4 linked regions of the Schizosaccharomyces pombe genome follow. The gene in region 1 interacts genetically with each later gene. Each region holds a gene or a part of one and is shown on either strand. Other genes may lie near its edges. The genes, in order: rho3, erf4, apl2 and erf2.

The links.
Region 2: of rho3 (region 1) and erf4, changing one suppresses a phenotype caused by changing the other (phenotypic suppression), as found in Schizosaccharomyces pombe (one study listed by BioGRID).
Region 3: of rho3 (region 1) and apl2, extra expression of one rescues a mutant of the other (dosage rescue), as found in Schizosaccharomyces pombe (one study listed by BioGRID).
Region 4: of rho3 (region 1) and erf2, changing one suppresses a phenotype caused by changing the other (phenotypic suppression), as found in Schizosaccharomyces pombe (one study listed by BioGRID).

Annotation. Positions count from the first base shown.
Region 1 is NC_003424.3:1,037,076-1,045,360, forward strand, and holds rho3 (Rho family GTPase Rho3), read left to right. Parts: upstream 1-4,373; 5' UTR 4,374-4,459; coding exon 4,460-4,523; intron 4,524-4,597; coding exon 4,598-4,670; intron 4,671-4,904; exon of another isoform or gene 4,905-4,994; coding exon 4,995-5,475; 3' UTR 5,476-6,008; downstream 6,009-8,285. Other genes in the region: nuclear bridge Ish domain protein Les1, read right to left, coding at 1-986, 1,041-1,107; efm6 (methyltransferase), read right to left, coding at 1,591-2,574; karyogamy protein Tht2, read left to right, coding at 3,166-3,771; SPOM_SPAC23C4.09C (chaperonin-containing T-complex associated protein), read right to left, coding at 6,145-6,189, 6,307-6,437, 6,521-6,596, 6,645-6,714, 6,926-6,999; guanyl-nucleotide exchange factor Sec2, read left to right, coding at 7,920-8,285. UniProt on the Schizosaccharomyces pombe protein: Involved in controlling cell shape and septation. Regulates cell separation by modulating the function of the exocyst complex. Involved in post-Golgi vesicle transport. Involved in driving sexual development in a palmitoylation-dependent manner.
Region 2 is NC_003424.3:2,825,741-2,832,116, reverse strand, and holds erf4 (palmitoyltransferase complex subunit Erf4), read left to right. Parts: upstream 1-2,932; coding exon 2,933-3,451; downstream 3,452-6,376. Other genes in the region: rRNA processing protein Faf1, read left to right, coding at 1-307; spd2 (ribonucleotide reductase (RNR) inhibitor family), read right to left, coding at 908-1,125, 1,311-1,318, 1,518-1,600; rit1 (initiator methionine tRNA 2'-O-ribosyl phosphate transferase), read left to right, coding at 3,430-3,488, 3,768-5,070; protein mug113, read left to right, coding at 5,299-6,279. UniProt on the Schizosaccharomyces pombe protein: The erf2-erf4 complex is a palmitoyltransferase with a major role in driving sexual development. Palmitoylates ras1. Palmitoylates isp3. Palmitoylates rho3.
Region 3 is NC_003423.3:673,857-683,392, reverse strand, and holds apl2 (AP-1 adaptor complex beta subunit Apl2), read left to right. Parts: upstream 1-3,651; 5' UTR 3,652-3,758; coding exon 3,759-5,810; 3' UTR 5,811-6,265; coding exon of another isoform or gene 6,266-6,336; 3' UTR 6,337-6,484; coding exon of another isoform or gene 6,485-6,632; 3' UTR 6,633-6,760; downstream 6,761-9,536. Other genes in the region: knk1 (AAA family ATPase), read left to right, coding at 767-2,122, 2,171-2,579, 2,627-2,844; putative NatC N-acetyltransferase non-catalytic subunit Naa38, read right to left, coding at 6,266-6,336, 6,485-6,632.
Region 4 is NC_003423.3:1,863,056-1,871,390, forward strand, and holds erf2 (palmitoyltransferase Erf2), read right to left. Parts: upstream 4,478-8,335; 5' UTR 4,395-4,477; coding exon 3,342-4,394; 3' UTR 2,766-3,341; downstream 1-2,765. Other genes in the region: trm141 (actin binding methyltransferase), read right to left, coding at 313-771, 844-1,131; protein tam8, read left to right, coding at 1,465-1,698; elongator complex subunit Elp6, read right to left, coding at 1,722-2,276, 2,359-2,553; SPOM_SPBC3H7.08C (uncharacterized protein), read left to right, coding at 6,197-6,265, 6,335-6,386, 6,547-6,788; phosphoserine phosphatase Ser2, read left to right, coding at 7,279-8,076, 8,148-8,246. UniProt on the Schizosaccharomyces pombe protein: The erf2-erf4 complex is a palmitoyltransferase with a major role in driving sexual development. Palmitoylates ras1. Palmitoylates isp3. Palmitoylates rho3.

The sequences.
Region 1 (8,285 bases):
GTTTAGCGATGCCATGTCAGAAGAGCTCCATTCAGAAGCAACATCCATATAAAATAATTTAGCAGCATGAATAAGTTCATGACGCGAGTTGTAAGCAACATGGGAAAATATGGAACCACGTTTATTGTACTTCCAAATCCAATCTAATAAGTCCTCAGACGACCATCCATCTAGTACGTTGGAGGCAATCATTACACGCGGTGTGAAGCGGTTAGCGTATGCTTCTTTCAAAAGAGTTTCCCGAGGTGAAAGAACAGAAATAGGAATGTTTCGCTCTCGCAAAAAATCAATAAGTCTACCGTCTGACCATAAGTGAATAATTTCTTTCATATATGGTGCAGGCTGGCTATCTGTAATATTTGTCACTTTGTCTTGCGATTTTCTTTCCTCAATATCGTAATAACGTCTAGCCAAGACGATTAGGTCGTCATGTGATGCACCAATTGGTACTGTAATGTTTTTCTGATCCAACATAGAAAGGAGTAGATTATTTGACCAGGATTCCAACTCATCATTGGTGGAAATGGCATCGCCCATTGATGCTTGGAAAACTGTTTCCAACAACTGCTCTCGGGTTCCAGGCTCTGGAACTTCGTACTTATTCTTAATAAGCCATCGAGAAAGCTCGGAGTTGGTCCATGAATTGAAAATCCAAACGTCCAATTTTTGTGCGTTATGAGAAGCATGATTCTTCTCCTTCTCATAGAAAGATTTACATTTGTCGGTTACCTTTGATACATACTGTAATGGCTTCCTCCAAAACTGTGAAGGAGTCTCGATAGGAGGAACGTCCAGTGACTTTACCCCATGATTTTGGAGAAAGTCATCAAGCTTTCGTTGAGGCCAAGAATCGGCTGGTCCTCCTATTTTCCCCTTTTCTCTACCGGCGTAAACGGTTCGCTGAACATACTTCGTAGTTGTACTAGGCGCATCATGTATATCAGCTGCAGTCGCTTCAATAGACGATATGTGGCCTGTAATCTTGCCTAGACAATGCCGGGTCAGCCGCTGTTTCTGTAGAAAAGCAACTCAACACTTACCAATTGACAGACAAAGCTGTATTCCTAATGCCAAAAGCGCTCCGTGTAGAAGAAACCTTGGCTGCATTGTATTTTTCTATGTGTTTGGGTGAATGGATGGTGCGTGATGCTTGATGGGTATTACACTTGGTATGCGCTGCTATATGACGTAAGCCGAGCCAGTTTCAAGGCATACAGAGAACAGGGTAAATAAAGCAGAATAAATAAAGGAAACTGCTTTATATAATGTTGAGTTGTTTTTTTATCAAAGAATATGCTAAATCATTAAATTCGCGCCAGTCGTCATAACACCATTCAAAAAAGCTGGAAGCCGAAATTCAATTTTACAGAAAATGTACTTTGCAGAGTTTACATGGGTTCCCAAGTTCGCTGATAGTTTAGATGCAAAATTGGTTTTATGCGATGCTACAAATTTTATAGACCGTTGTGTATAAGAACCCGAAAAGACATCTCAATATAAACATGCTGCTACAAAAAAGTTACGAGATTCGCAAGTTGACAGATTCAGCAACGCATCCTAAGAGAAAAATGAAAATGATGCAAAGTAAATTTATTTTTTCTGTAAAATGTAAATAGTGATTGGACCACGTTCTTCGTAAACAAGATCCAACCATCCCAATATATTGCTCATAAAAGTTTTTTCATTGTCATGTCTTTTTTTGTACGCAATATATAACTTTGTGTTCTTATCCATCAATTCCTGAAGACTTGCCTCCAAATCAGAAAAGCTAGATTCATTGTACATGACATCTGACATAACAATATAATCCCAATGACGCCGAAATTTTCGAGGAATGTCATGTCCCCATACTAAAATATCAGAAGTTATGTTGTTGCTCATTGCAGACTTATTCTTTTCAACATTTTTTTCCATAAATTCAATCGCATCTTCTGTATCGGTCATTGACACAAGAGCACGTGGATATTTGCTAGCAATACTTATACCAACAATTCCACATCCGGAGCCTAGTTCTAAAACATTGATGTCTTTTCTATTGGAAAAGCTATAATGCCAATCATCAGAAAGAATCTTTTTTGAGAAAACTACGCCGGCATCCCACAAGTGCTTAGCAATACTGTTACCCATCTGTTCGAGAAACCAGAGACCATCGTTTGGTGACTTTTTTTCTGGGCCTTGGATATACCGCCATACCATATTAGGTAAAGTAGATTTCGGTGAAAAAGCTTCACTCCAAACTGGTAATACAGTATCGGCATTTATGTGTATAGAATCAACGATTGAATTCTGATTTTCTAAATGCAGCGTCAATTGAATTTGCTGGTGACTAGCAGGAAAATACAAAGTCGTTTCAGCCGCGTGACCATTCCCTATCCATGAAACACATTGCTTAGAAATTGTGATACGACTGTGAGATTGTTGTCTATCCAATGCTTCAACCCTTACGGTTGCATCTTGCGGATATGAAACTTCGCCCAGATCAGAAGTTATCGTAAAAACCACTCGTAAAGCGTATTTAAAGGATTCTTCGAGCTTTTCTTGGAGTCTTAAAATTCTAATATAATAGAAAGTCATTCAAGCGTCCAAATACTTTAAAAATCCTTGGAAAAATAAAGAAAAGGGGGTCTTACAGAAATTTTTTTAATGATCTATTAACGTTCAGTTTCCCTTTAAACCACATTCACCAATCAATGAAATAAACCACTAGCAATGAAATACAAGTTGGTTGAAAAATTTTTTTTTTCGCAATTTGAAAAACTAAAATTCTCTGAAATATCAGATTATCGCCGCAATATGAGAGAGGGTAAACTGATCGTAAAAGCAAAACAATTGAACTAAGTTGTTAATTCATGCAACCCGGTAGCAATCATCATGAAAATAATCTCTGAATTGTTGTAAGAAAAACGCATGGTAGCAAACTTAAGTCGCAAGCAGAGCAACGAGTCATAACTGATAATACGAATATTCACATAAGGAAATGAACTTTATAAACACTCAATTACAAATTTGAGGGCATAAGCAATTGCACTAACACTTTTTTACATGTTGGTTTATTATGTGTTTTGCTGACTTTCCTTTTGTTTGTTACTTTTTTGTTGTTACCAGCGCACCTAAACGAGAAAACGTGTATTGATCCCTTCACATTTTAACCTCACAATACAGAAAATGGAGAATCAGGTGTCCAGTTTTCTAATTGATTCTCCAATGGAATGGAAGACTTATATGAAAAGCTTGAGTGATGATAATCCCAGCTTTGGGGACGTAACAGTTAATTTGACGAAAATTAGCGTATCTTCAAAAAATGCAAAAAGCTACGCAGAAGAAATGTATAATTATGTAACTCAAGAGATGGTATTTATCAGTGAACGTAGTAGACTATTATTGCGCGCAAAAAGAAGGTTGTACAAAAATCAATCACTTATGAAAAAAACGTCTGTGTCAACCTCGAACACAGTAAAGATGGTATTTATGTCACTAGCAAAGCAAATTGAACAAATGCTCAAATTCTGTATGATGGTTTACAGCAAATTGTGCGAGGCGTTTGAAACAACGTTAAAGGTAGCGAAGGAGTTTCAAATTTGCGATTCTTCTCAAGAATGGTTTTTCCAATTCCAATTGGGTTATCATAGAAAACAGATGGAATTACAGATGCTTTCTTTTGTAGCCGAATGGCTTGTTTTAACTCAACATTATACAGATGCTCTGAATGACTCGGCAAAAACACTTTACGACATAATGGAAAGTAGCCATAAAGCGGCACAAAAAGTTTAAAAGCATATTCAAATGTCAAACAAAATTTTCTTCTTTTAAAGGTGCTATTCAATTCATGATTCCAACAGTTGCTGTGCAAATTAAACTATTATCATGAAACAAACCACGGTAAAGTTGGTTGTACTATTGTGTGACTCCTTTTTCAAACTCATCAAAGTACGATTTTCAATTAAATTTTAAACTTTCAATTGAAAGGGTTGCCTCAAAATTGACAAGCCCTTGGTCAACTTTCACTAACTGGTGCTGTTGATTTTCTTCCTATTTAGCAATCACGTTATATATACCGTGTATTTCATTTTGAGACTGAGAGTAGACTTCCCCAATATATTTTAGTAAAACTATCCTTCGAAGGTTTTGTTCATCAATGAATTAATGCTTTACTCATCAAAATATATTATGAAACAATCCTACTTGCGAAGTTCATTCTGTATTACGTATTTCCGTATCTCTTTTAATAAACTGGTTCGCATCGCCTTAATTATTCTAAATTTGATTGTTACCTGAAATGTAGAAGCCAATCTACAGCGCACAAGGACATGTATGTCCTTCGCTAAGCAGTAAGCTGGGGTCTTGCGTAGGCTTTAGCTCATGGTACAAAATTCGTACCTAAACCAAACACCTCTAATCCTTTATTATACAGAAACCATTGAAAAACCCATAGAAAGCTTGATTGAAGCTCATTGAAAGTATGTCAAGCTGTTTCGGAAGTAAAAAGAAGCCTATTTATCGGAAAATCGTAATTCTTGGTGATGGTAAGGATCTTGGTGAAAATTTTGTTTTTTCTTTCGTGATTTTCGCAGCTAAGCATTCTAACCGTAAATTATAGGTGCTGCTGGTAAAACCAGTTTGTTAAATGTATTTACTAAGGGTTATTTCCCTCAGGTATACGAGCCTACTATGTAAGTATCATTAATAGTGCAAAGCTGTAAACGGCGGAGCGGAAATGAGGTTACCGTCTGCAATATCAAGTATAACTCAATATGAAGCATCTTTTTTTGCAAACCTTTTATCTAACGGGTTAATTTGTGGAAATTTGTTTCATTTCTGAGGAAAACGAGAATGCCCGAGTGTGCTCTCCATACAGTCACACTCGTACAATTTCTCATGACCAAACGTCAAATTGCTTTTACTATGCTTGACCTGTTAAGGGTTTTCACCACTTCTTTACATGATTATCTTCTTGTACTTAAAAACTTTTTCCGTTATCTAACACCTAAAAATAGATTTGAAAACTACATTCATGATATCTTTGTCGATGGAAACAGTATAGAACTGTCTCTATGGGATACAGCTGGTCAAGAAGAGTATGATCAACTGCGTTCGTTATCATATTCAGATACACATGTTATTATGATCTGCTTTGCCGTGGATTCACGAGACTCATTAGAAAATGTAATCACAAAATGGCTTCCGGAAGTCTCTAGTAATTGCCCTGGTGTTAAATTGGTTCTTGTTGCTCTAAAATGTGATTTACGTGGAGCTGATGAGGAGCAAGTTGATCACAGTAAAATTATTGATTACGAGGAAGGACTGGCAGCGGCAAAAAAAATCAACGCTGTACGATATTTAGAATGCAGCGCTAAATTAAATCGTGGCGTAAATGAAGCTTTCACGGAAGCTGCACGCGTTGCCCTTGCCGCGCAACCAAGAGGTACAAAGGATGGTGCTGATGAATCCCATGGTACCGGATGTATCATTGCTTGAAAGCACTTTCTTTTGAAAGCGCCTAAAAGTCTTATTTCTAATGTTCGAAGTTTATTATTGTATATGACGTTAGTGTGGGTGTTGCGGTGGCCTTTGAATAGCGTTAACCTTTTTTCAATGGTTTGTACTTTTGACTTTTATCCCCTTTGCTGTTCTCAAGGTTTTAAATTTGACACTTGGGGATTCTGTCCGTTTCCAATGAGTTTATCTCCTTATTTCAGGTGTATTGTCTATCTTTCTTACCTTCCTACTTGAAACAGCAGGTATTTGTACAATCGTGAAAAAGAGTGTTTGCAGTGAACCTTACTTTCCTTCTTTTTTGAAACTTGTACACTTTGAGTTGTTCAATTCTCCTTCTGTTCGTGTAATCGTTGAGTTGCTAATCTAATCAATTAATCTACCCCTTTTCTTTTACGATAAGCATACTGTTGAGCAATAAGGATTAGTCTTTCGGTTGTAAGACATGGGTCTGAGTCAAATCCTACCGTTTTAGAAAGCACCTTAAATATTTATGTAATATGAAGTGTTACCCCTAAATATCGTAATTGAAGTTAAAAATTGTAAAAATTTAGACTACCCAATATGTTGTATTCGTGCATCCGTGCAACCCTAATTCAATTTGATCCATTTGAAAGTAAAACAAAATTTATTATGTCTTTATCCTTTAAATTAAAGATCCCAGTCATCCTCATCGTCTTGAACACGTCGATTGATCTAATTAAACAGTTAAACTCTGGACCATGTAATATAAACAGATGTTTTTTTTTGATATTTCTCTCCTCAGATGAATTTGAAATAAAAAAGGAGAGAAGGAATTAGTAAGGCACTTACCACAATTTTTGTTTCATTACGTTTGGAGACCTCACCAGAAATTTTTTCTAACAATTCGATAAGTTCGGGCTCTGAGATTTTATGAGATATCTGGCCCGTTTTGGCCATACGTAACAGGAGCTCTTCAACAGCTACACAAATTAGACACATGTTTACATTATTCGTAAACAGATATTAAATTATTATCCGCCGCAGAAAATGAAATCACACTTACCTTCAGCACGATCTTTTCGTACCAACGCTATACGACGAAGTCTGTCTCTTGCTGGGTGTTCCAAAATTTGAGAAAGCTTATGAAATTGTTAGTCGGATATGGACCATACACATCATAAACATACTAGATTTTGTCGCATTTCATCTTGTACCTCCTGTTGTTGCTGATTGCTTGATGGACCTGAAGCAATATTACTAGATTTGTTAATTCTTGTAAAAAAAATGGAGTATATAAATAAATTAGTTTCTAAATTCACTATCGGATTTCCTTTGTGTAATTTTAAAATGATTCATTAAATCTCGTCATTTACCAACATAATCCTTCAAGTGAATTCTAATAAAAAATTATAACTTTCAGTCGTAGAGTTTTGAAGTTTATATGCAAGTTTCGAAACTAAGAACATACCTAGGGGCAGAACCATGTTCAGCTTGAAGTTGTGCTAAACGAGCTTGTCTTATAGCTTGCAATTCTTCATCCATTATGAATAAGCCTAATTATTAAGCAAGAACTGATGCACAAATGTTTTTTAATTGAGACTTGTGTAATGCTCAAATTTGTGGTGTTGCAAAGGATTAACGATAGATTTGCGGTACTGCTATGGAATAATAGCAATTAACAAGCGCTAGCATAATCAATTGTGTCGAGAGGACCATATTGGTGAGTAATACTTTTTTTAACTTTCTTTTTCTAGTAGACATGTACTTATTACCCTTATCTTGACAAAGCAGTCTGCTATCACGAAGAAACCTGGTCAAAATCCAGTGTGTGACAGCAACACCTATTCATATAGCATAAGCGATTATTAGACGATTACTTCCAAATCATAGTCAACCCCAAAACTTATTGATGAAGAAGTATTTTCAACGTAAACAATTGGTATAGCTAAATTGTTCAACGAATTAATAATTGTTTGAAACATGTTGTTTAATACTCTTTAATACGATTTAATGAATCACTAGTGTTAGTTACATAACATTACGCTGCATATTTCGTTATTTATCACTACATGGCTTTAGTTATATCATTTGCTATAATTCACCTTTTTTATAAACTCAAGATTATCAAGTTTGAGCTCAAGATAAACCACCTTTCTTAGTTCAGTTGTAAGCTATGCAAGTCTTTTTTATTATCATTGCTACCATTATTTAAATATTCAGAGTAATTTGCGGGTAAACTTACCTACGTAAAATTATATACTGCTCACAATGAAAACTCACCGTAGTCTATCGTATCCTTAACACACTTTATGAACTTCGTAACTGACACCAAAGCGTCTTATGATACAAGTGTATGAACGCCGTAAATTACCTTGACATGATATGTCAGTACTAACGTTAGCTGTTAAAGGAATTTCTTTGTGTTTGACTTAACGCTAAACTAAGTTATATTATAATTTTTTATGCCTGATGTCTCAAATGTGCGTGTAAAACCAAACCAGCATCCTTATGAAAAAGAAGTAAACGGTAAATTAATGTCGCAAGAAGAAATATTATCTCAAAAGCTGGTGGCAGCAATTGAGAGACAGGCGGCTCTTGATGATAAATATGCTACTGAGGTACATAGAAACGAAGCATTGTCAGAAAGGATTAGAGAGCTGGAAGCAAAACTCTCAGCAAAAAAAAGTTTTGACGAGGAGTTAGTAAAGTTTCATAACCTTGAAGAGAAACTTCAGCTTACGGAAACGAAATGCCGTAACGCAGAAAGTGAGAAAAGCCGTGTGGAAAATGAACTAGAAGATTTAACTAGCTCGTTATTTGAAGAAGCT
Region 2 (6,376 bases), 1.8 Mb from region 1:
AGGTCAAGTTCAGTTGGTTGCTGAAGGAAAAATCCGTCACAAAGTCGTTCAGCAGCACATTGCTCAACTGGGCGGTAAGAAGGAAACCGAGAAAATGCCAATGGCTGCTCGTAGAGGAATGAAGAAGAAACAGAAACATATAGAGAAAGTAATTGAGAACGAAGCCCGGGAGAGTGGTACGGTGTTAGCAAAAAAACGAAAAGAAAGAAAACAGTTCAAAAAGGGATTTCGTCCTGTTACTTTCTCAGCGCCAGGTAAGCTCGTGGGCGGTACTTTACTATTGCCAAAAAGCATGATACCTAAATAAAAATTTAAAAAAGAGGAAAATTTGATTTTCGTGACAAAAAAATAATGACTTTTTCTTCTTAACTATTTATACCACCTTTAAAAATACTGAAGCTATGGAAGTTGGATTTTTAGTAACTTTCGACACATTCAAATGGTGTTTTATTTTCCTTTTTTTTACCTGGAACATTTAAGCTGATTATATTTGTGAATGTAAGACGCATACGGACAAGGAATTTTGGTTTTGCATAGAGGGTACTTAGTTTTTAATATTTGAACACATTTAACGTAATTTGAAAATAAAAATGGTACTATTATGAAAATGTTCAAAGGAACAAACTATAGCAGATGAGCGAGCGACGAGAAAAAAGAAACACAAAACAAATAATTTAAAAAGTATAGTTTACTAGTACTGAGTCCGCATATTCATGAGTAAACAATACTACAATAAGCAAGCAAAAACTAGAAAGCAAAGTCGAAGAAATAAATTAAGTAAATCTTTATCTTCAATTCAATTTCATAGTTTTGAGTAATAGTTCATCTCAATAACAAAGATTTATGCTATTGAAAATATACATATTACCCAATAGTATCGAAAGCTTTATCTTGCTCATTTATTCATTTAATGAGACTTGAGAAAATCAGGCTTGGCAAAAGAATCGGCGATTTCTTGAGTGGAGGCGGTATCCCAGAAAATAGAATCAGCAGCCAATTCTTGCTTCAAATCATCGAGACGAAGATTAGGATCATGTTTTTGCTGAGGAAGCTCATTTCTATCAGTTTGATCCTTGTGGTAAGAAGGGAAAAGTTGTTGGTCAAATTTGTAACCAGTTTGAACAGCTGCTAAAGTTAGTAAAAACTGCTTTCATCTAAACAGGAAAAAAGGTAGAAAGGAAGTAGTTTCTATAAAAACAGTTTTCCATTAAAAGTATAAACATGAAGAAAGAGTGCTTTATAGAAATTTTTGATTAAGGTATTAATAAACAAATCCACTCATTTTTTTTTTTTAAATTTGATTCACGTACCTTTGCGACTAAATGATTGTTAGTTATTATACAAAAAGACTAAAAAAGAGTTAAATCATCAAATGCCGTGCTGCAGTACAATTGTATTATAAGTTTTCAAAAAAGTACTTAGACCTTTAAGCCCTGTCTCTTACAAAAAAAGATAGCAGAACAATCAGCATTTTGGATAATTCAACGTTTAAAAGTAAAAAATTGGATTAAACTTACACTCTGGCTCCAACATCAAAAAGAGTAGTTTGAACTAGCTGGGGAAGTTCGTCATGATCGGGAAGCTTGAACGTTTCAGACATCCTGGATAAGTAAAACAATTAAAAAGTATCAAACAGGGGGAAATTGACAAAGTATAGTTAAATATAGGTAAAGACGGAGTGGTGAATCACAAATGCTAGCAATTACCAATCGCAGAGCAATCTTTTAATTTTCAATGATTAGGTGGTAGATGGTAAGTAGTTTGGGGTTGCGATTGTAGATCATACGAATTTTCTGTGACTCGAGACAGGTAACACTTTTTCTATTGTTTACCTATGGAAAAAAAAAACAAAACAGTGTAATGCGATACATATTTCCTTTAAACAGTTATGTTATGGGTATCATGAGAAACTAAATTTTCATCTTCGTAAAGGAGGGTTCTTTTTTAATCGTCTTTCTTGGAATTTCTTCAAATCATGAATTCAACTTGCATAAATGGATAAGAAAAGTTGGTTGTAAGAATCTATAGATATATATTTAGCATGTTTCTTTTATTTAAACGAATATTCCTTTTAGAAGCGAGTAAGCTTCAAGTCGTATAGAACGCAGACGATATTAAGCCTAATAGGATCTTTAACGCTTAACTTAATAGCAAGCACAATGAGTTTTAGATAGCTGAGTACTTTAAAGCAACCTAACTTCCCTTGCAGCTAAAAAAGTTTATTGAACTTGATTTAAGACGCTCTTCTTGGACTGAGCAAGGACTTCAAAAAAGCCCGCATTCGTTGTCAAAGTTTTATCTCATCTAACGACTAAAGTAATATGAGTCAATGCTCATATAATATACAGTCGAATATTTTTTATATTTTATTACATTTATTTTCCCAAGTAGTTTTTCCAGTTCATTCTAAGTAACTTTTATCGTAGATGAAATATATCCTGTAGAGAGCTTTTATCCTCTTCCTGAACGAGCAATACGTTTTATTAATTTTCAATTCCTCAACAACTAAAACCACATCCTTTTATCAATCTTAATTTTCACTATAAATCCGTTCAAATTACCTAGTGACAAACTGTGTGGTTTTTGTTTCAAATCTGAAACTCACTCAATTAATCATAATGATTTTTTAAAATGAGTTATCATTGCCCATTTTACAGCTATTCACTCAATTAATCACTCAATTCTGACATTTAATACGTTTGTTTGTTTAGTTCCGGTTATATGATCAATCGATGAACTCATGAGTGTTTTATAATTTTTTAGTCATTTTTAACGTTGTTTAACTTATAACTTTCCTGTTTATTTATTTTTTTTCTTGTGCTCTACCGAATCCCAGTTTCATTATACATATTCTCTAATCCGTCTTCTAATATTGTACACTTGAACCTAGAGCTAGGGAATCCACCAAGCTTCATTTCAGTAGGTTTTTTCGATGCTTGTTCGCATTGAAAGGGATTATTCGGTTTCAGGAGATAAATATCCTCAATTTCCAACCGATTATCCTGTACCTCTTCGAGCTTATGTGAATCTTGAGGATTGGGATGTATTCATTCACACATTAAACGAGAAACTGAGAGAAGCCTTCTGTCCATGGTCAATTGGAAATCTATTAGATGGAATTCTATCTGTTTTAACGATTTATATCTCGGAGTTCGTATTTGGCAGTATTCATCGTAAAAGAATTGGGGCGATCGATTTGTACATCCTGGACTTTGCAACCCAACATAATTTATACGTTGCCAGCCTTCGCAATATGGGGTTTTTGAGTCTCGTTTTTCATACAAAAGAAACAAATTCGAAAAGTAGTACTCTCCATTCCAATCCGTACTGCCCGGAGCACCATTCTATACGAACACTTCCCTCTGCCGTGACTGCCACCACTTCAAATATCTCAACTTCTAGTTCTCACAGAAGTGATCTGCCAAACGAATGGACGAATTCGACCCTTTAGACGCTGTGCAACAAATTCATGTTCAAGCAAGACACCCGTAAGTCTCAATTTGCTATACAAATAAGCTGGCAGAATCAAAAGACTTAGAAAATGATTGCTACCTTTATAAACGCACAAGCAATTAATGCAAATTGTAAGAAAAAACGATGGATAGCTGCTATTAAATTTTCATGAAAAATTTTTAGCCTAATCGCCATTTGTTGGATTTCGTACTGATATATATTTTTGCTGATTTTTACTTGTTTTTCCTTTTTGCCTTGCTTTTCTTTTATTTGTATGTCATCGAATGGAAAATTTGGCTAACACTAATTTCAAGAAAGAATCGGTTGCTGTCAATTGCACACGATGCCAAGTTTGTCGACTCAGTTATAGCTTCGTACCCCACATTTAAACCTGTTGTAAATGAACGATGCGGTACGTGGTATGTCAACCGACGACATGCTCCGATTTCTGTTTATTTCAAAAGTACTGATGGTCATACCGGGCAATGGTCTTTTAGCTGTCGTCGTCTCAATTTGCATTTGCTAAATGAGATAACCACTTGTGATGGATTGATTATAGTAGATTCTACTCGTCGTGGAAAGAGAATGCCCGATGCTCTATCAAAGACGATTCCGATATGGATTGCTACGCTCAATAAATGTGTTTTCGAACGGCTTCGTCCCCATTCCTTTCCTAATGCTCGTTTGGCCTTTTTACCCCCGTTTTTACCTGATACAGAAAAATCATCTATTTTACAGAGGCTAGATGGATTTGTAGATTCTTTAATGCAGTCCGGCATTGACTTAGATGCGTTGGCGGCTAAGCTAACTAAACCCATTCGTCCTTTATGGGTAACACCTGCTAGTCGTTTAACATCTGCACAATTTGAAGAATATTTTACAGTTGTTCTGGTTACTGCAAGTGCTCAAGTACAGAATGGGTACTCCCGAGAACATGGATTTCTTTACGTTCAAGGAGCAGCAGATGACGAAGAAGAATGGTCGCATGGGCTGACCCCTGAAGTCTTTTGGCAAAATACTGAATCTATCCTCACATGCCCAGAGGAGCAATTGGAGCAAAAAATTAGCCTCCTACTATCTTCAACTAGAAACTCACCTACCATGTCAAATTCTTCGTTAACCCATCTTTTACCAACTCCTATATTTGTTGGGGATGTTACGGGATTTTATCCCCCTCCAGAAAATACATCTTACTTTGTTTTGAATTTGTCGAATACCACCCTGAATGTGAAGAATGAACTTTGTTTTCCAATACCGTCAGGAAAAAAAGGTGCTCCGGTGTTTCGCAAGCATTTCCCTTCAATATTGCAAGAATTAAATTCACTTGATCCTCCATTTTATGAGAGAGATGCTATATTTATTGTCGATGAAGGAAATGCTAAAGAAGCCGCCTCTTGTCTTGCATTGATGATTCTTTGTTTATACTACGACCTCCATATGCATTTACTTGCCCATCCTATATCTCTATCTGCATCTCAGTCTCACCTTACCAAGCAAACGGTTCGCCAATTTCTGGTAAAAATTACAGAACTACACTCCAAAACAAATCCCTCACGAGCATTCCTTCTTGCCGTCAATTCCCTTTTACTTAGTGCCAATACTATTGCTACTTCTTAGTAGTGGCACTTGGAATGGCAAAAATGTTTACGGTAAATAAAATAACGTAACATGAATCGTTTCCTTAAACGAATCCCAATGTCAACATTAAGCTCAGTTTGCTTTTTCCGTTTCCCTGATTGTTAAAACTTTTGAAAAATATCTGAAAATACGAGTAATTGAGTTTGTTCATACATTTTAAGACTTTAGAGGCTTTGAAGGATGTTGATATTGTTTGATTAGGATTTCATGAAAATGCCGAATACTCTGCATTCAGTATCAATCTCTACAGATTTTCCTTCCCCAAATGTAGAATCGGAAGCTGCAGACGTGAATGAATATTCCTCTACTTCAAAATTTGAGACATTGGGTAATCAGAGCTCTACAAACCTCGGTTTTTCGAACTCCTTACAAGATAAGTGGGATTGCTGGAAACGGGATTTGTGGTCTATTTGGTGGTCCTTAAGTCGTAAGGCAACGAGATTTTATAGATGGTTGTCTCGATCGTTAAAATGGCGTCCAGTTACTTACGAAACAGTATATCCACAAACTTATGAAACTCAGATGTCAGAGCCTAGAGAAGTTACTACAATTGTAAAGGATTTAAATAATGGGGATTCTTTTGTCTTAAATGTTACTGAACCTGTTGACCCTGAATTTTTGCGTGCCAATATACCTCCTGTTCATCGTAAACATCTTCCACCCAGACTTTCATTAGTCGCTTCTCCGGGAACTATTCCTACTCGTGGAGTTGTTGTATTAGAAGATTGGATTAATCCGCTACTATCCGAAAGATGTAAACTTCTTTTACAAAGTGAGCTTTGTAACCAGGATTCTTATGATTGTCCGGGTTATATCTGCGTTTACAGATTTGAGCAGAAAAATAACCCTTCGGTCGTTTTAGGTGACTCTACCCTCATCCAAATTTCCAGAGTTTCTGACCTTCAGCGACACCTTCGTGAGTACCCTAAAAATTGTGCCTTTTCCAGGTCGGTGTTAGAAATTTTCCCGGATCCCGGCAAAACTTCTAAGCCATGCCAAGTGAGTTTCAAGGTTGAAAGGTTAGTACATAAGGAATTAAATGAGTATCTTTCTTGGATGCAACCTTTTACATGTGATTCTTGTGGATCACTTCATGAGAATTGGCTCCAAATTGACAGTAAACAGTGGGACCAAATTCGTGGTGTAATATTACGGTGGGTAGAGTATTCTCGGGTCATTTATGCTTGAATCGTTTTTTGTTTTTTTTCCTATCTTCTTACTTGTTTTGTTTTTATTTTGAACACAGGAGATTTTATTTTTCTCCCAAAATACTTTATAATTAATA
Region 3 (9,536 bases), on another chromosome or scaffold:
TGTAGGATCATTTAATAAAAATAAATTACGTACTTTTCTAGTCTACAAAACGATTCGCCTGCTAAGATTATTGTCATTGTAGTACAAAACGTTACATTCATATTTGTTTTATCACATTTTGACTTTTGAAGGCTTTTAACGATTAGGCGCCCGACTTTTTTCACCATTCACTTCAAGAATTTAAAAAATAAAAAATTTATCAACATTAAGTGCCATCCCGTTCCTTTCAGACATAGCTGATCTGTTTACATCTCCCGGGCCTCAAGTATTCTTAAAAAAAGCTCTATTTGAGCGTTAAGTTCAACTAGAGAAATTTTTTTTAGAATTTGTAGGTATATCAAAAGATACTTAAATTTTCGCAAATTTGTTCTCATCGAAAACCGCTTGGCTTCTGTTTTTCAGCCAGTCGAAGGCGCTCGATTTTAAAGTGCTCTCTAATCCACACTACTAGCATAGCGATGAAATGATTAATATCGTTAATAATACGTTTTTTGTTGTAAACAAATTTCCGGATTTGCGAATTAGCGGGAAAAAAAAAAGAGTGTGAAAGAAAGATATTTACTCATCTATTGAATCTATGAATAAAATGATTTTCTCCAATACGAATTCCTTATCAAATAGCTTTTGAAGAGATGAAAGAAAACCAGTGGCTGAAAAGTAACAGCGTTACTTCGAACATTCTATGGGATTTTTAACGACAAGACAGCACTTTTGACATTTGAACTTGCCAAAAGCAAAAAAGCCATTGACGAGTCGACTGCGGAAAATGGACTCAGACTTGGATAGAATACTACCGATAGCATCAAGAGCATTATTGTGTGAAGGAAATAGGGATTGGGCTGGTGCGTATGTGAGTTACTGCAAGGTTTTAGAGGAGATGAAGAAGTCGTCGGCAGCTCGCGATCGCATGGGATTGGGACCTTTGACGGGCGCAGAGGCATGTTCTTGGAACGGGCTCTATGACAACTGTTTGAGCAAGGCAAGCAAGCTGCGTAAGACGATTTTGGAAAGTGAAATGGAAAGGCAAAATTATCAACTTGCAGCCAAACTTTCAAAGAAGGCGCCCGTTGATCTTCACCCCTTACGTCCAGTAAGATCTCAAACACCTGCGTATACCCCCATGACTACTAGGATGATGTACAGACAGACGAGAGGTGCGCAGTCGGAGGTAAATTTATCTACGCCTAAGCAAATATATTCCAAGCATTCGCCTCCTTCTACCTCCACTTCATCCATTGTTTCTTCTTCCTATGGAGATGCACCTTCTTATCTGGCACCCTCTAAGCCAAACCGTTCTCCACCCCTCAAACCCGAAGATCCCTTTGCCTCTTTCAATTCTTCTGCTTCGGCCATTGCTGCTGCTTCTAAGAGTGCTGCCGCTTCTGCTTCTGCTCTTTCTTCTGATACAGGTCGTTCTGCTACCATGAATTCCACCACTTTTCCTACCGCTATGAAAAGTCAGTCTACGACTAAACCGACGCTTTCCAATTCGGTATCTAGCCCTTCTATTCAGGTGTCAAACAATCAAAATGCTAACAATAGCACTCCCCTCTCCTTCCATGCGCCAATTCCTCCACTCCATGTTCCTGCCGTCCCCCTTACGTCTGCATCGCATTCATCCAGCGATGGAAAATCGCGCAAGCATCCTAGCCCATATAAACCATACTTAAACTCTTCTCATGATACCCTTGGTTCTTCCACTCGACCGTCTTCCGCTGACACAGCCGGATCACCTGCTACATCTCCTCCGGCAACCGCTGATTCTAAGACAATTGTGTCAAAAACTATCTCAGCTAGTACTACTCAACAAACTGAACCTCTTCAACAGACCACTCCTTCAAGTGATTTTGAATATGCTATTATGAATGAAATTATTTCTAACCATGAACCTGTCTACTGGTCGGACATTGCCGGATTAGATGACGCTAAAAATTCCTTGAAAGAGGCAGTCATTTATCCGTTTTTACGCCCGGAACTTTTCCAAGGATTGCGTGAACCCGTACAAGGCATGCTTCTTTTTGGCCCCCCTGGCACCGGCAAAACCATGCTTGCTCGTGCTGTTGCGACCGAAGCGAAAGCCACATTTTTTTCGATTTCGGCTTCATCATTAACCTCGAAATATGTAAGCAAGTTTTATATTTAACCCCATTCTTAACTAACCTTGATTTAGCTTGGTGATTCTGAAAAGTTGGTTCGAGCCCTTTTTGAAGTTGCGAAGCGCCAGACATGTAGCGTTATCTTTGTTGATGAAATTGATTCCATTCTTTCCGCTCGTAATGACAGCGGTAATGAGCACGAGAGCTCTCGTAGATTAAAAACAGAATTTTTAATTCAATGGTCTTCGTTAACTAATGCGGCTCCGGACAAGCAAACTGGTCACTCTCCCCGTGTTTTGGTGCTGGCAGCTACAAATCTTCCGTGGTGTATTGATGAGGCTGCTCGACGCCGATTCGTTAAAAGAACCTATATTCCGTTACCTGAAAAAGAAACAAGATATAAACATCTTTCTCATTTGCTTCATAATCAAGTACACTGTTTGACGGAGGAGGATCTGGAAGAACTTGTCAATCTTACCGAAGGTATGTATATAAATAATTCGATTGGTTAGTTAACTAACGCCATCTAGGTTATTCAGGCTCTGATATCACTGCTTTAGCCAAAGACGCAGCAATGGGTCCTTTAAGAAACTTGGGTGATGCTCTACTTACCACCAGTGCAGAGATGATACCTCCGATCAGCTTGAATCATTTTAAAGCTAGCCTTCGTACTATTCGTCCAAGTGTCTCACAAGAGGGTATTCATCGTTACGAAGAGTGGAATAAACAATTTGGTTCGCAACGTTAAAACAACTTTGTAGAGTATTCTACCTTTAATATTTTCAAGAAATCATATATTCTTTTGCATCAAAAAGGCAGGGTATCCTTTAATTTATTCAAACTTCCTTTCTCTCTTTTTAATTTTATCCTTTAATGTTTCTTAACGAATCATTTGGGTATCGTTTTTCTGGATATTATGAGAATTACCGTGCATTTAGGGATTGAATCGTGGATGCTGATTTTCATGTGGTTTCAATAACTTTCTTTTGCATAAACTTGGCTTATTACGAATTTTAATTTCTGTTTACCTTCATTTTATTTTCGTCTTTCCTACAACAACTAAAATGTATTCGTGATTTGACTATCGCTATAAACGACATTTTAAATCATAGCCGACTTGACAGCGCCTTTTACAAATGCTCCCCTTTTGTATTTTCCATCAATTCTCTTTATTTTATTTTTTCCATTTATCGTCATATTTATTTCGTTTACATACAGCCTCAACCTATTGGGCTACTTTTTTTCCCTTCACTATTCTCCAATTTTGAACAATAATTATTAGTTATTTAATGTTTGGAAAAGGGTATTGCTTTACTTGAATCGCATTTTTACGGCAATTAACTTATAGCTTTTATTGAAATAACATTTCAACCTCTTGTTTGTATACTGAATTAAATGTTTTAAAATTTATTTAAAGGTCATAATAGTAGCGTTTAAAGCATTGCAGGTTGAAAATGAAATCATGAATATATAGAAATTGGATTTCAGTATTCGATATTGTCACCTTTGTTACTTCTGGGAGTGGGTGTTTCTCACCGAATGGGTTTGACTTGACATGATTATTGAACCACTGCTTTATATATGTAAACGTGTTTTTGACCTTAGGACGTTTACCACCTTTAAAAGAGCTACATAAAGAGCGGAATTATACAATAGTACCGAATGGTTCCAAAGTTGTTTCAATCGAGCCGTTTTAAGGCATTTAAAAAAAGCGAAACAAGTGAATTACAAAAGGGACTAGTTTCTCAGTATGCCTACGAGAGAATTGATGCTGTGAAACGGACTATTGCCGCAATGACTGTTGGCAAGGATGTGTCTAGTCTGTTTCCCGATGTTTTAAAGAACCTAGCTACTCGCGATATCACCTTGAAAAAACTGGTTTATTTATATCTAATTAACTATGCCAAAACACACCCTGATCTTTGTATTTTAGCCGTTAATACTTTTGTAAAGGATTCTGAGGAATATAATCCTACTTTACGAGCTCTGGCAATTAGAACTATGGGTTGCATTCGGGTAAATAAAATCATTGGCTATTTGGCAGATCCGTTGCGAAAAGCTTTGAAGGATGAGCATCCCTATGTTCGTAAGGCTGCAGCGGTTTGTGTTGTAAAGATGTATGACCTTGATCGAGAATACTGTGCATCAAATGGTTTCATCGAACAATTGCAGGCGTTGGTATCTGATCCGAATCCTGTGGTTGTGGCTAATGCAGTCCGCTCACTTGCTGAAATTCATGATCAGGACCCTGAAAAGGGATATTTTAATGTAGTTTACACGATGACAGACAGGCTAATGGTTGCTTTGAGTGAGTGTAATGAGTGGGGTCGGATTACTATTTTGAATTCTTTAGCTAGATTTCGCACTTCTGATATCAAGGAAGCTGAATATGTTTGTGAAAGGGTGGTTCCTCAATTCCAACATGCAAATAGTGGTGTCGTTTTGTCCGCTGTGAAAGTCATAATGGTACATATCCCTCTCTTTTCCAGTGACTTTACAGACTTTCTGTACAAAAAAATGGCTCCTCCTCTTTTGACGCTACTTTCTACGGACTCAGAAATCCAGTATGTAGCCTTACGGAACATTAATTTAATATTACAAAAGAGGCCTTCTATTTTTGATGTCAAAACTCGGGTTTTTTTCTGCAAATATAATGATCCTCTTTATATTAAAATGGAGAAACTAAAGATAATTACAATGCTTGCATGTGACGAAAACATTAACGAGACCATTTCCGAGCTTCGAGCGTACGTTTCCGAAGTTGAACTAGAATTTGTGAAACAAACGATTAAATGCCTTGGAGACGTTGCATTGAAAGTTCCAAGCGTCATCAATGATTGCATCTCCATATTTCTTGAAATCTATGAGTTAAATATTAGTTATATGGTTCAAGAAGTCACGGTGGTGATGGAAACGGTTTTGCGCAAATACCCTCAAAAGATTGACTTATTACTTCCATATCTTTCTCGTGTCATTGAGGAGCTTGGTGACCCTAGAGCCCGTAGTAGTATGGCTTGGATTTTAGGGGAATTTTCACACGTTATACCTACTTCTTCTAAACTATTATCCGAAATGATTTCTACTATGGCGGATGAAGATTTACAGATTCAATTGGCTTTACTGACGGCTGTTGTAAAATTGAGTTTGATGAACGGCAAAGGAAACGATGAAGAACTCGTACAGAAAGTATTAAATTATGCAATTAATCAATCAAGCAATCAGGATTTAAGGGATCGTGCCTTTGCATATCAGCGGTTGTTGACACCTGAAAATGTTCGTAAAGCTCAAAAAATTGTTTGTTGCGAAAAGCCTTCCGTATCTTATAATAACAATCTACCTGAGGCACTTTTGGATGCTCTGTTGTGTGAAATCACAACTCTTGCTTCTGTATACCATAAATTACCGGAATCCTTTATTGGCCAGGGCAAGTTTGGCGCAGACGCAATACAGCGTCGAGCTGTTGAAGAATTGAACATTGAAGAAGCCAATGTTCATGAAGCTATTGAAAAAGGAGCCAACGTTGAAAATTTGCTTGACCTTGATTTTACTGATCCAGGCGCAACGTCTGCCAGTGATTCTCCAATAACCAGCGCACAACCTCAGTCGGGCTCAAATAGTGCAATGGATTTGTTCATGGCTTTTGAGGCACCGAGCACAAATAACGCTGAACCTGTAAAGGCTAGATCGGCAACAGATGATCTGTTAGGGCTTTAAAGATAAACGACAGATGAGTGGCATGATAGATGATGATTTGTTTTATTAATATTTATCTCGTTTCGTTTGTCTAATGGGAAAAACGGGATAAGGTTGATTGATGCACATCTAGTTTATGAAGATATGTTTCAATTGTTGTTTTTTCCCAAATCAGAAAGTCAATTTTAACATAGAAAGCATGTTCTTCTTTCGTTTTTATAAATAAATAAAAAAATATTTGTTAAAATGGATGCGAAGCAAAAATAGGGACTGCTCATTGCAGTAATCATTATCACTGAGGTGCTATCACGAGTGGTACAGATTGTAATGTTAATTATAGGCGTTTTTTAATCTGTACGAATGTAATGATTATCCCTGGCGATATTCGTTTTTGAATTCATTCCAATATATATATATATATATATATACATACATACGTAAGTGAGATGAAAATGTTAAGGAGATTTATGGGTGCTTTAGGCACGTACGGAGAAGCTTTTGATATGCTTTCCTGGAATCACCACTAAACCCAAAGCTCTAGAGAAGCCTGATTTCATTATATTAGTTTTGACGAAATTGGTGAAAAACAGAAAGAGGTACTAGCTGGAACGTTTGTTTTCAATTTAAACAGTAACCCAGCGAAAGTTTACTTGAATTTGAGGGACGCGCTATTCATGAACACATATCAATCTTACCTTTGTTGTATTCTGTGGTATTTGAGAGAATGGCAGCGCCTTCTCTGTCAGTGCACAAGAACTTTCCGATGAATTTTCTCTCATCAAAAATTTCAATATGAACTGACCGATTGAGCCAGCTGGTCAGTAAAATCTCTCCATTTTCCATGATCAAGGAAAATTCATCAAGCTTGGGGGAAGTGAAATCAATAGCAGTGGATATACATACTCTGAAAATACTAAACATTAACGCAATGCACAAAATTTGAACATCGTATTGTAAAAAGTAATGTAGTGCCATTAATATAACGCTATGCTATGATACACTACGTTGCGTATCACTATATGTCATATGTTGGAATACTAGCTAAGATCCGTTTATTGATAATCACGGGTAATTATCCGTCTATATACATAGATACCCGTTAATAACAACTATTTAGAAATATTATAAATAGCGTTACAACTGAACCTCGTTCCTCAGTTCAGTTATGAGCTATATTAGTGATAGGTAACATTATAACCCAGTTAATACAATACCTATACTCAGTTGCTACTTATACAACCTGTGTATTGTAATATAAATAGACCATAAGGAAAACTCACCGCAGTTCTCCGTATCCTTAAATCAGATACCAAACTGCGTAACATTAGGGAGAATTGAAAACTGTGCAATTAACATTGGTATTTTAAACAACGGAATTGGTGCATGTCTTTACATAGTATACGATATCACCTTAAGTATCACAAACTACGTATAATAGAGTAACTGAATGTGGGGTGAGTAATGGCAACGTAATGCTCTATAACATAGCGCGGACTATCCCATTTGCGATTTTATTTTGTATCGATCTTTTAGCATGTTGAAGAGTGTGTTTTGATGAAAGAGAAGGTAGATTACTATAATTACCGATCCTAAATACAACATGAATGTATTCTCATAAAGAATGGTTGAAATTATAATCCAGAAAGTAGGTATTTTTTCCTACTGATTTCAACCCTCTACGCTTCGCATCGTTATTTAGTATACAGTTGGTACAGTAGGATATCAAGGCCGTATACATACTATTTACATCGCGGTATCCAAAAATAGTTTAAACAAATGCCGTGAATAGTTTGTCTTTGCATCCATTTATGCAATTGATAGAGTTTCATGAAAACGTTCTAAGCTTGCCGAGTCAAAAACTGCCTTTCGACGGCAAGACACTAGGCAACTTCGTCCCAATGCAGTACTGGAAATTTCAAGGAGAGGGAATTGTAGCAGTCTAGTGCAAAGTAAAGTGAATTCATGAACCGACTTGTCATGTGAGTTTTATTATTAAGAACTCATTGTATGAGAAAAAAAGAGGGAATCGTTTCGTTAATGGGTTTTTTAAGGGGTTCGTTCATCTCCAATTTACAAGTTTATGGGTCACTTGACATTTTCTCTACTTTAACAAAAACTGCTACGGTTCCTCAATTCCCTGTTGATTGATAACGGATATGAACATAGAGTTGTTGATATCAGAGTAAAGTATTTTAAGCGATCTCGGTTATATACTAAAACATTGGGAAATCTTCCTATTTTGAAAGCCAGCAAACCAGCTTCATTTTAACTATGTCTTTCCAACCAGCGATGTAGGAAAGCTTGGTAACTTTAACTCTCGCAAAGTGTCGATAAGTTTGCGTAACGAGTTGACTGTTTTATCTCGCTTATAAAGGTTAAAACATTTCTACAATAATAGACCGTGCTACGAAACAGTAAAATTATGTGTTTGTAAAAAATACTTATGGTAATAGGTTCAACCGAGCTCCCTCCAGCACATAAAATTCATCGTTATATGAATAGCCAAACTTCATCTCGTTTTTTCCCCTATGATCAAATTTTGTCGAACAGGAAAAAGTTGAGTCGCTTTACATTACAGAAATTTCGATATTATCGCATGTCACGCCATTGAATTTTTGGCATTACTATTGCACCCCGAAAGCTGCACTCAGTCTGACCAAAATCTTAACGGTCACAGGGGCGAAATACAATATACAGCAATCGGGTGCAGCGAAATCACCTATCGTAGTCCATCGGTACTCTATCCTTGTTAATGAAGTAGAAGGCTGGTATCGATAAAATATGTTTTCGAGATGGGCCGAGAGTTCGTTAAAAAAATGAAAAATTTAAATGGGTTGGATATTCTAGCAGTCGATTATTGGCTTTCTTTTCTTTTCTTCCTTTAAATATTATTATTATTAATACTCTTTAATCAATTGCCTCTCTTTTTCTAGAGTTTCCTTTTTTTCTGGCTTACTTTTTCGCATTCTGCCAAGGTGCCCTATTAAACAAAAGGTAATCAATAGTACCCTTCTAATGCAAGAAAAAAGTCTCCAATTCGCTTTTCCCCCTTTGCAATATCAGTAAGCAAATAACTCCATCCAAGCTCATTAGATGGGATAGCACATACACACATGCTACAAACCTTCAATTTTACCCGTTTACCCGACTTTCCAGCAGCACATAGAAGATGGACAAGGGGCATGGCAAATGTGCATGCATATGGCAAACAAATATGTGCAAAATGACATTATTAAACGATCATAGCAGTTCGAAATGGACTTGGTAAAACAGTCAACTCTTGGCTGTTAAGGAGGAATAGTAAGTTATCAGTTTAAGCCACAGTATGTATGGTATGGGAAAAAACATCGGAAATTTGGATAGAAAAAGTATTATGAGTGAGATGAAAAAACTCTTAGAGGAAGTGTTTTGAGTCGGAATATTTATGATAAGTATTGATGTTGAACAGTTTTTCATTTAAATTTTTATTATAATTATTATTAAATTTTTTTTTTTAATTTTTTTTTTTTTTTTATTTACTTTATGTCAGAGTTATGCTTACTTGATGGATTATTGTGTCTAAACTTACAAAATTAATAATTTTATATTAAATTTGAATTTTCTCTTTAATTTACGTCCACTAAATTTAATAATTAAATGAAATAGAATAGAATTGTATATTTCATAATTTTTCGTCATTGCATATCATTTTTTTATTTTTTATTTTATTTTATTTTTTTCTTTATTCTTTTTGATTTATTTTATTTG
Region 4 (8,335 bases), on another chromosome or scaffold:
ATAAAGTAGATATGGTGTTATATCATTCCAAAAAAGTTGAAACAAAAATATTTAAAAGCAGCTAACGCTGAAGGTGGGTAGTAAGTAAAGTTATACTAGTCACTCGTTGATAACAATTAAATAGCATATGCGAGTGTAGTTTAAGAAAACAAAGATTTTCTATTTTTATTAATTAAATTATCAAAAAACTAAAGTTACTGTCATAAACCTTACAATAAAACTCAGGACTCATGTCTAAAACGGATTACATTAAAAGCCCTATATAAAAGAATAAAAAATACGCAAACAAAGAAACTTTTTCTACCAAAGTATTCACAGCTTTTTCCAAACTCCTTGTAAAAACGTACGCTTCATATTTAAGTTACGCTTTCGGTTGTCAACGGTGCGATTAACTCGATCTAATGTTACTAAGCCAAACCCGGCGCTTTTCATCCATTCAGCAATATCTTCTTCTCGAAAAAAAAGTGATAAAGTTCCATCCTGTCTAACGAACGTCTGTTCATCAATCATAGATGGGTCACCGCTTGTCATGAATTTCTCTTGAGCAAAATCGCCATCACAGTAATCACGAAACACCAAATGCCCTCCTGGCTTTATGACTGAAGCCAAGTTCTTAATAGAACGAAGCTGCTTCTCGCGTGGAATGGCAGATAATACAAAGATGGCAGTTAATGTATCAATGCAAGCAGAACCCAAAACTTCAAGCAAAGAATCTTCGGTTATATCATTAACAAAAGGAAAAACTCTATTTTCGTTATAACAGGAATGCTTCTAAATTAAGACAAAGGTTAGTAAATTAAATATTTCAGAGCAAATTGGCATAAATTTAGTAGCTCTCCTTACCTTCACAAAATCTATAGCACGAGGACTAAAATCACAGCAGTATATCTTCAAATTTGGTTGCACTTCTAGCAGAGGATAGACGAGGTTTCCAACACCGCATCCGACTTCAAGGATAGTCAATGGCAACTTATCGGGCAATCCAAAATAACAATCGAATTCACGATCAAGCCAGTGTCTATCTTTGAAAAACCTTGTTTCATTTCGCTTGTAAAACTTATCCCAAGACTTTTTCGACTCCTTTTTATATTTTTCAACCCAAAAATCACTTAATTTTGATATACCACTCATATCTCCTAACAATTTCGTAGCACGGTCTTCTATATGTATGAAAGATGTTTCAAAATATTACCCAACCCAGTAGTTATTCCAAAAAATGCGATAAAAAATTTGTATGACAACGATTTACCCTACAACCTTCAATGAATACCAAACTGGCTCGATCAATTTTTTTTAAATTAAAAAAGCACTATTTTAAATAAAAAAATAACCAAACCTAGTTCGTTAATTCCAAATTCACAAATCAATGCACACTGTGCAGAGAGCGTCTTGTTCTTCCTTGTAAACCTACACCTATACCAATTCGCGCGCACCTTGTGATACTCGCAACTCTACAAATATACAATGAATAGGACTTCAGAAAGTGTGGAACCTCAACAAAATGAAAAAACAGCAGTGCATTGGAGCAGAGAATGGGTTCCTGTTGTTGTAGATACATATTCTAATGAAGATGATGAGGATAATGAAGAAGGAGATGAATCCAGGCCTCAACGAACATTTTTAGTAAAACGGTGGGTGCAAGATAATGTACAAGTGGAAAAGAAGGGAGACGAAGAGACTGCAGCAGCAGATAATTGAGAAAAAGTAGATGAAGTAGGAATTTAGAGTTGCAGCGTCACCTGCCCTTTGGAATATACCTTAGCACCTGCTTCCGTTACCTCGTATAAAAGCTCCTTGTCATCATCCTCCGGGGTCTCGCATATTCCACTACGAAAGTGATTTGGCATTCGAGAAAGACGCAGGAATCCGGTGATTCGTCGAGCGCTACCGCTAGTCAAAGGCCGACAGGAAATACATCTAGTTGCCATGTGTCCGATTGAAGAGCCTAAAGACTTTTGTTGTGGTAACGGAGCTCCCAAAGTCACGTTTACAATGACTCTACTGAAACATTTTCGTAATTCCAAAATTGCCTGCTGAATCTTTGTGGAATCGAGAGCATGAGTACTTTGTAAAATATCAATATCTTCTATGATGATCGTGGAGTTTTCAAATTCAAAATCGTTTTCCTCCACACATTGGATCACAGGCGCGAAAACAGATTTGATGTGATTTTTGGTTTCTGGTGCTTGTACCTTCGAAGGCTTGGAAATAGGAGCAAATAGCATGCTGAAGCCATCGATAAAGAAGAAATTTTTTTTCGTTTTAATATCCATTCCCTAATATTGGTTCAGTAGGTTAGTCATACGAATAGTTTATCATTCAACCACTTATGCAATCGTAATCCCTCTTTTTACATACCCATTTACGCATACTAATTGCATGCTCATCTAAGGTTTTACTGAATGTTAAAAAACAAGTACTTTCCTTTGCTTTCAACGCATGGTATAAATAATAATGGAACAGAAATGTGACAGGTGTTTCTCTTGTTCCCAGTAGCAAAGTTAAAGAAAAAGGCTCAGGAATGGGGCGTAAATGCTCGTGTAAAGAAGACATTAGGTTTAAGAGCCGTTTGTCATTAGTTTTATAGCCTAACTACAGTAACCAGCTTTCCGAATGGTTGTAGAGGGTGAATGGAAAACACAAGCCTGGGAACGGAGCAACATGAACCAGAGTAAGAATGAACAAGCCGGTCAGTAATGCAAAGCTAGTTCTAATATTATAGAAGTTTCAAGTATCAAATTAAAGAAGTCTAATACCAAATTATTTTCCAGAAAACTATCCTCTAAATGTGGATAAGCTATTTCATTAAAAAAAGAAAAACTATCTACCTATGGAACATTGATTTGCCTAAAAGGCAATCATAATAATAAAAAAGAACAATAAAGAGCAAATCCCAATAAATTAGACTGGAAAGGGGTTTAGCTAAAGGAGGTAAAACCATCTATCTATCATATAAGTCATAAAAACAAGCAGCATTACTTTAAAAATAAAAGAGAGCAGCCAAATTAAATATTAATAATTCCAGAGATTGGTGAGAACAAGGAATAGTTTTATAAACATTTGTTTCTGTACATTGTTCTCTGTAAAGTACAAAGGGCGAGCTGAAGGGGTCGACGACAAGGATGAAAAAAAAGAACAAAACATTATCCAGGTAAAAATTTTGAAGAGGGGAGTAATCTTTTTTATTCCGGTTATTAAAACCAAATTAATTTCGGTACTGAAAAGTAAATTGGTAAGGGGAAGATGAAAGAGTGTAGCATATATGCGTGAGCGATTTGAGCATTATTGTCTAGCAAATAAAAAATTTTTATTTCTTATTTTCTTTGTGAAGCCAAGGCATATTACACGTAAGACTTCCTAGTGGGACGAACGTAACTCACATTTTTAGGACGACAAAGGACAACCAGAAAATTGAGCCATATGCTGTCATGAAAAGGATGTACATCTTCAGTTTCTGTACTCTTTGCTCGTAAGTATTCATGAACATTCTGACCAACAGATATTAAATAGCACTGGTAACAGAAAAGGATGCCAGGAAGTATTGCTCCAAGTGCCCCATAAATGCCAAGGAAGAAAGATACGCCAGCCCATGGACGACGAAGATGCGCCGCAAAATTTGTATCTGTGGATTCATGAAAACTTCCTATAGAAGTATAGAACCCCAATCCAGTTAGATACAAAGCTGAAAGAACGACAGATAACAAAAAAATAAAATAATATCTGTAGTTTCGACGACCAATGCAAGTGTTTAACCAAATGCAGTGATGATCAAGGTATTCAACACAATTATCACATAAATGACAATGGCTTGCACGTGGAGGACGATATAAGTGGCACGTATGGCAATAAACTGTATTAACAAAGACAGAGTCAGACCGAGTGGATCCAACAAGGACTTTACGGTCTTCAGGAATTACAGACCAGGGATGGGCAGGGTTATAAGTTAAAGAATATGCATTTCTAGGAAGAATTCCTGGATCAGCAGTCGAGCACTTGAACATGGAAACAACGGCTAAGGCATACAGGTAAGCAAAGGTAATAGGGACAGCGGGAGAGACATGATGCCAGAGCCAAAAAGCAGAAAAGATGAAGAAAAGGACTCCTGGAAGAATCAAGGCAAACAAGCTAATGAGGAAAGCTTTGTACTGAGATGACATTTGCAATCGACCACAACATAAATAGATATTGTTTCCTGGTAAATTCTTATATCGGCTTTCAATATGCGGTACTTCCGGAACATCATCAGGAACGGATTGAAATCTATAAGGAATTTGGTTCTTTTCTTCCAAATTCATGGGATACGTTGGATCAGACAAAGTCACCTCAAATGGATTCCATGGCTGATTCCACGCGTAGCGGGATGCCTTAGCATCACTGTGTTTCTCATAGCTCATGATTATATTCTCTAAACAACAAACATGGCAAAGAAACAGCTATTTTTACACCTGGTATTATATCTTGTAGTTTTGTTGTCGGTAAGGATATGAACCCCTTTTGCGATGGAGGGTGAAGTAAATATTAGCATCCGCCAAAGTTTGTTTACTAAGCAAATAAAGAAATCAAAATAAATAAACAATTAGAGAATGTGACTCTAATAACTAATATTTGGAATGGCGCCTATTTAATCGATGAGAGTGTATTAAAAAGAGAAGGGAAATAAAAACAGAATATGAAATGAAATGCTAAAAAAAAAAATACTAACCGAAGAAATAAAATTAATAATAATAAATAAAGTACTTATTTTTTTTTTACGAATAAAATGTAAAAAAAATTATTTAAGAGTGCCAATATATTAGTATTTATATTTTTCAAACTTTTTATTTAAATATATTTCATCGATACTGTAATTGGAACATCCTGTCAGTACAACAATTCAGGGCTCAAAGTTAGAAAAATCAAGTTTAATAAATTATACTATCCGTGCAATTTCGGGTTTGTAAAGAAAGTGGATAATATATGGAAAAATTAGTAATATATGACTCGATAAAGACTCCAAAGACTAAGATAAAAGACCAATATCATGGGAAGTAGACTAGCTAGTAAACCATTTTCATCTTGTGTATTATGTTTTTTTTTTTTTTTTTTTTTTTTAAAATGGCTAAATAACTAGCAGGAAAATAATGGGAGGGTGTAATTGAGAAAATATTAGAAATGAAGGTACGGAAGCAACGAAAAAAGATCTTAAAAGTTTATTAGAGTGTTGCAACTATTGAAATTATGATTATCGCGAAGCTATTAATGAAAGGGCTAATTTAAAGGATCATCTCTATACTTTCACTAGCCCCGAAATAACCCAATAACCTCTATGGCTTGTAAACAAATAACTCAAGAAACACGGTATATGGTCAGTTATGGATGAAATTTTGAAGAAAAATTATTACTAATCTACATCTAAGAAAAACCATCCTGGCTTCATTCACTGTATTTAGTGGAAATGTAGTTCACAAGATTATCGAATTAGATTGTTATTCCTCAATATGCATGACTCCAAGCGGTCCTTTGGTTTTATTTCCTGTTTTAAAGGGAAATGAATTAAATTCTTATTCCTTAGAAAATCTCAATGACGCTTTTAAACGTACTTGTACATTGGACCTACTTTACTGGAGAAACATTTGCGGTCAGCAACTACTATTAAGTTACTAACCTCATGGCAGCTAAATTTTGAAAAATGACTATATTTATTTATAATGGTACGAACCATTTTTATTTGTTTGCGAAGTTTTTTAGTGTTCTCTTCTTATTATTTACAAATATAATCTTAGGAAAAGTTTAGTAAATAAGTGTCCTAACAAATTCTATAGTATAATACAAGGGTAGAGGTAGTATCTGAAAAGTATTATAAAACTGTATAAAGCAATATAAATACAAGGGCGGTTCGATCCCGATTGCAAACGCTGGAAAATCTAGAAATATTGGAAAGTTGCTTCTTTCACCACTTTAGTAGAAGGAGTTGGTGATTATTATGATATTATTATCCATTCAAATTTGAATCTCTTAATGCGCACCGTTGCTACGTCTTGTCTGCGTCAGGTGGCGATCCCCATAAATATTGATGCTTGTCATAAATGTTGCGAATGTTCGCCTACGTATTTCATTTTGACATTTACAATCATAAAAGGATTTTAGATCCTTTCCATCTCGAAACAATTAATCAAACTATTCAAGCGAACAAGAACTTTTTATTTTTGGAACCATCATGTCAATTATGCGCTCAATTATGTCGAACCGCCTGGTTCGCTGGTCAAGAGAATATCCAGAACTATTTGTAAGCTCAATTTTTTTTTGAAAAATATATTGAGTTGATTATTTCGTAAGCTGATCAGTTTGCTGTTAGATAACTTGGTGTGTCATGACTTATACCTTTGGAGTTGCTGGTTATATGCTTGGTATGTTAAAAATTAGTAGAAAATTAGAAATCAGCGCAGTTAATGAAACATTATACTCAATTTTAATATTCTGTTAAAATTTTCCTACAGAATATTTATTTTACAAGCGCATTTACATATGATTGTTTAAATTAAATGATTGTAGCTAACAGTTTTTTAGGACAGCGGGGCTTGTTGGTACAACATGAAGATCAAGTCCGAATTCCTTCAAAAAATGCTCACCCCTGGGAAGACACCAAAAGCAGTAGCGGAAAAAGTGATGAGAGTCTTGATTATAGCTACAAGTATTATCCTCGAGGAGATAGGAGTAAAGAACCTCGAAAGGCACCTTCTGCTATTCAATACAGCACTTTTCCCGTTAAAGGTGTATCAGAAGAGGTACTTGAGCGATTCTCTAAGTAAAGCACATTAAATTGTGTATAACCTTTTAGGAATGAAAGAGAACAATTATTACATTGCCAAATATTTTTTTAGTGCTTTTTCACTTTACAAATATCTCACTCTCTACTTTATGGTAGGCTCTCATTTTTGGAATATTTGCCCTGATATATTGCAATATTTCCAAACATCTTCTTAGTTATGATTTCTTGCTTTATTGCTTTAATGTATAAAAAAAATATTTGCTTATTAACCTGTGTTTGAAAACGGAGTTTAGGCACCACTTTACCAACTTCACAATTTATACAGCATTTTGAAGATAATGATAAATTTGTAAACAATAACAAAAAATAAGCTTGTTTGAGATTTTCAAATAACTTAAATTGACCTAGTACTTGTTGTCGTTTAACGTTAAGCTTAATCAATAGCCGAGTAATTAGTAAATGGGACTTGCCGAAAACAACGCTTTTCAACTTAGAAAATTTAGCAAACCCACTCATACCTTTTAATAAGCATGGTCAACGCAGCCATAGTTGTTTCCTCAAATCGTCCAAATGTGCTTGAACAGATTTCCTCCTTGTTTAGAGATGGGAAGACTCGTTCTCTGGGGGAACAGTGGACTTTAGTATCAGGCCAACTTAAAGGAACGTTTGAAGATGCTAAAGACGCTTGTAACCGCATTTCTGCTACTGAGAATGTAGACTGTAATTGCTTGAGTGAAGCAACATTTTCCACTAAAAAGAAGCTTGTAGTATTTGACATGGACTCGACGTTGATTCAACAAGAGTGTATTGACGAGCTCGCGGCAGAAGCAGGCATCCAGAAAGAGGTTGCTACGATTACATCTCTTGCAATGAATGGGGAAATTGACTTTCAAGAATCACTTCGTCGTCGCGTTTCTCTACTACAAGGGTTGAGCGTCGATGTCATAAATAAAGTCATTGGCAAAATTACTTTCACTCCAGGAGCTAAACAGCTTTGTCATTGCCTTAAGCAAATGGGTGCGACTCTTGTTGTCGCTAGTGGTGGATTTGTTCCAATGGCTGAATATGTCAAGGGACAACTGGACTTGGACTATGCATATGCCAATGTACTTGAATTTTCCGATGATGGTAAATTCCTCACTGGAAAAGTTCAAGGTGCAATTGTAGATGGACAACGAAAAGCTTCCATTTTGCGTGAAAAGAGGGAAGAGTTGGGTTTAAATAAGCTCGAAACGATGGCTGTTGGGGACGGAGCTAACGATTTGGTCATGATGGCCGAATCCGGTTTAGGAATTGCGTTCAAAGCTAAACCCAAAGTTCAATTATTGGTATGTTCGAAATTTTTTTACAAATTTATGTTTTTAATGATCTTACTAACTCGATTTTTTTTTTTAATTAGGCTGATTCGAAAATCAATCTTCCATCTTTGCAAAACGCTCTTTACCTCTTGGGTATTGATGAGCAACAACAAAAAAAGCTATTGGAAAACAAAAATTAATTTAGAATTTCCAAGAATTTTTCAATCGCAAGGCGCTGTCAAGAACTCTGAGCTACTGTGGCTTGGTTTTTATAAAGCAATATTTTACT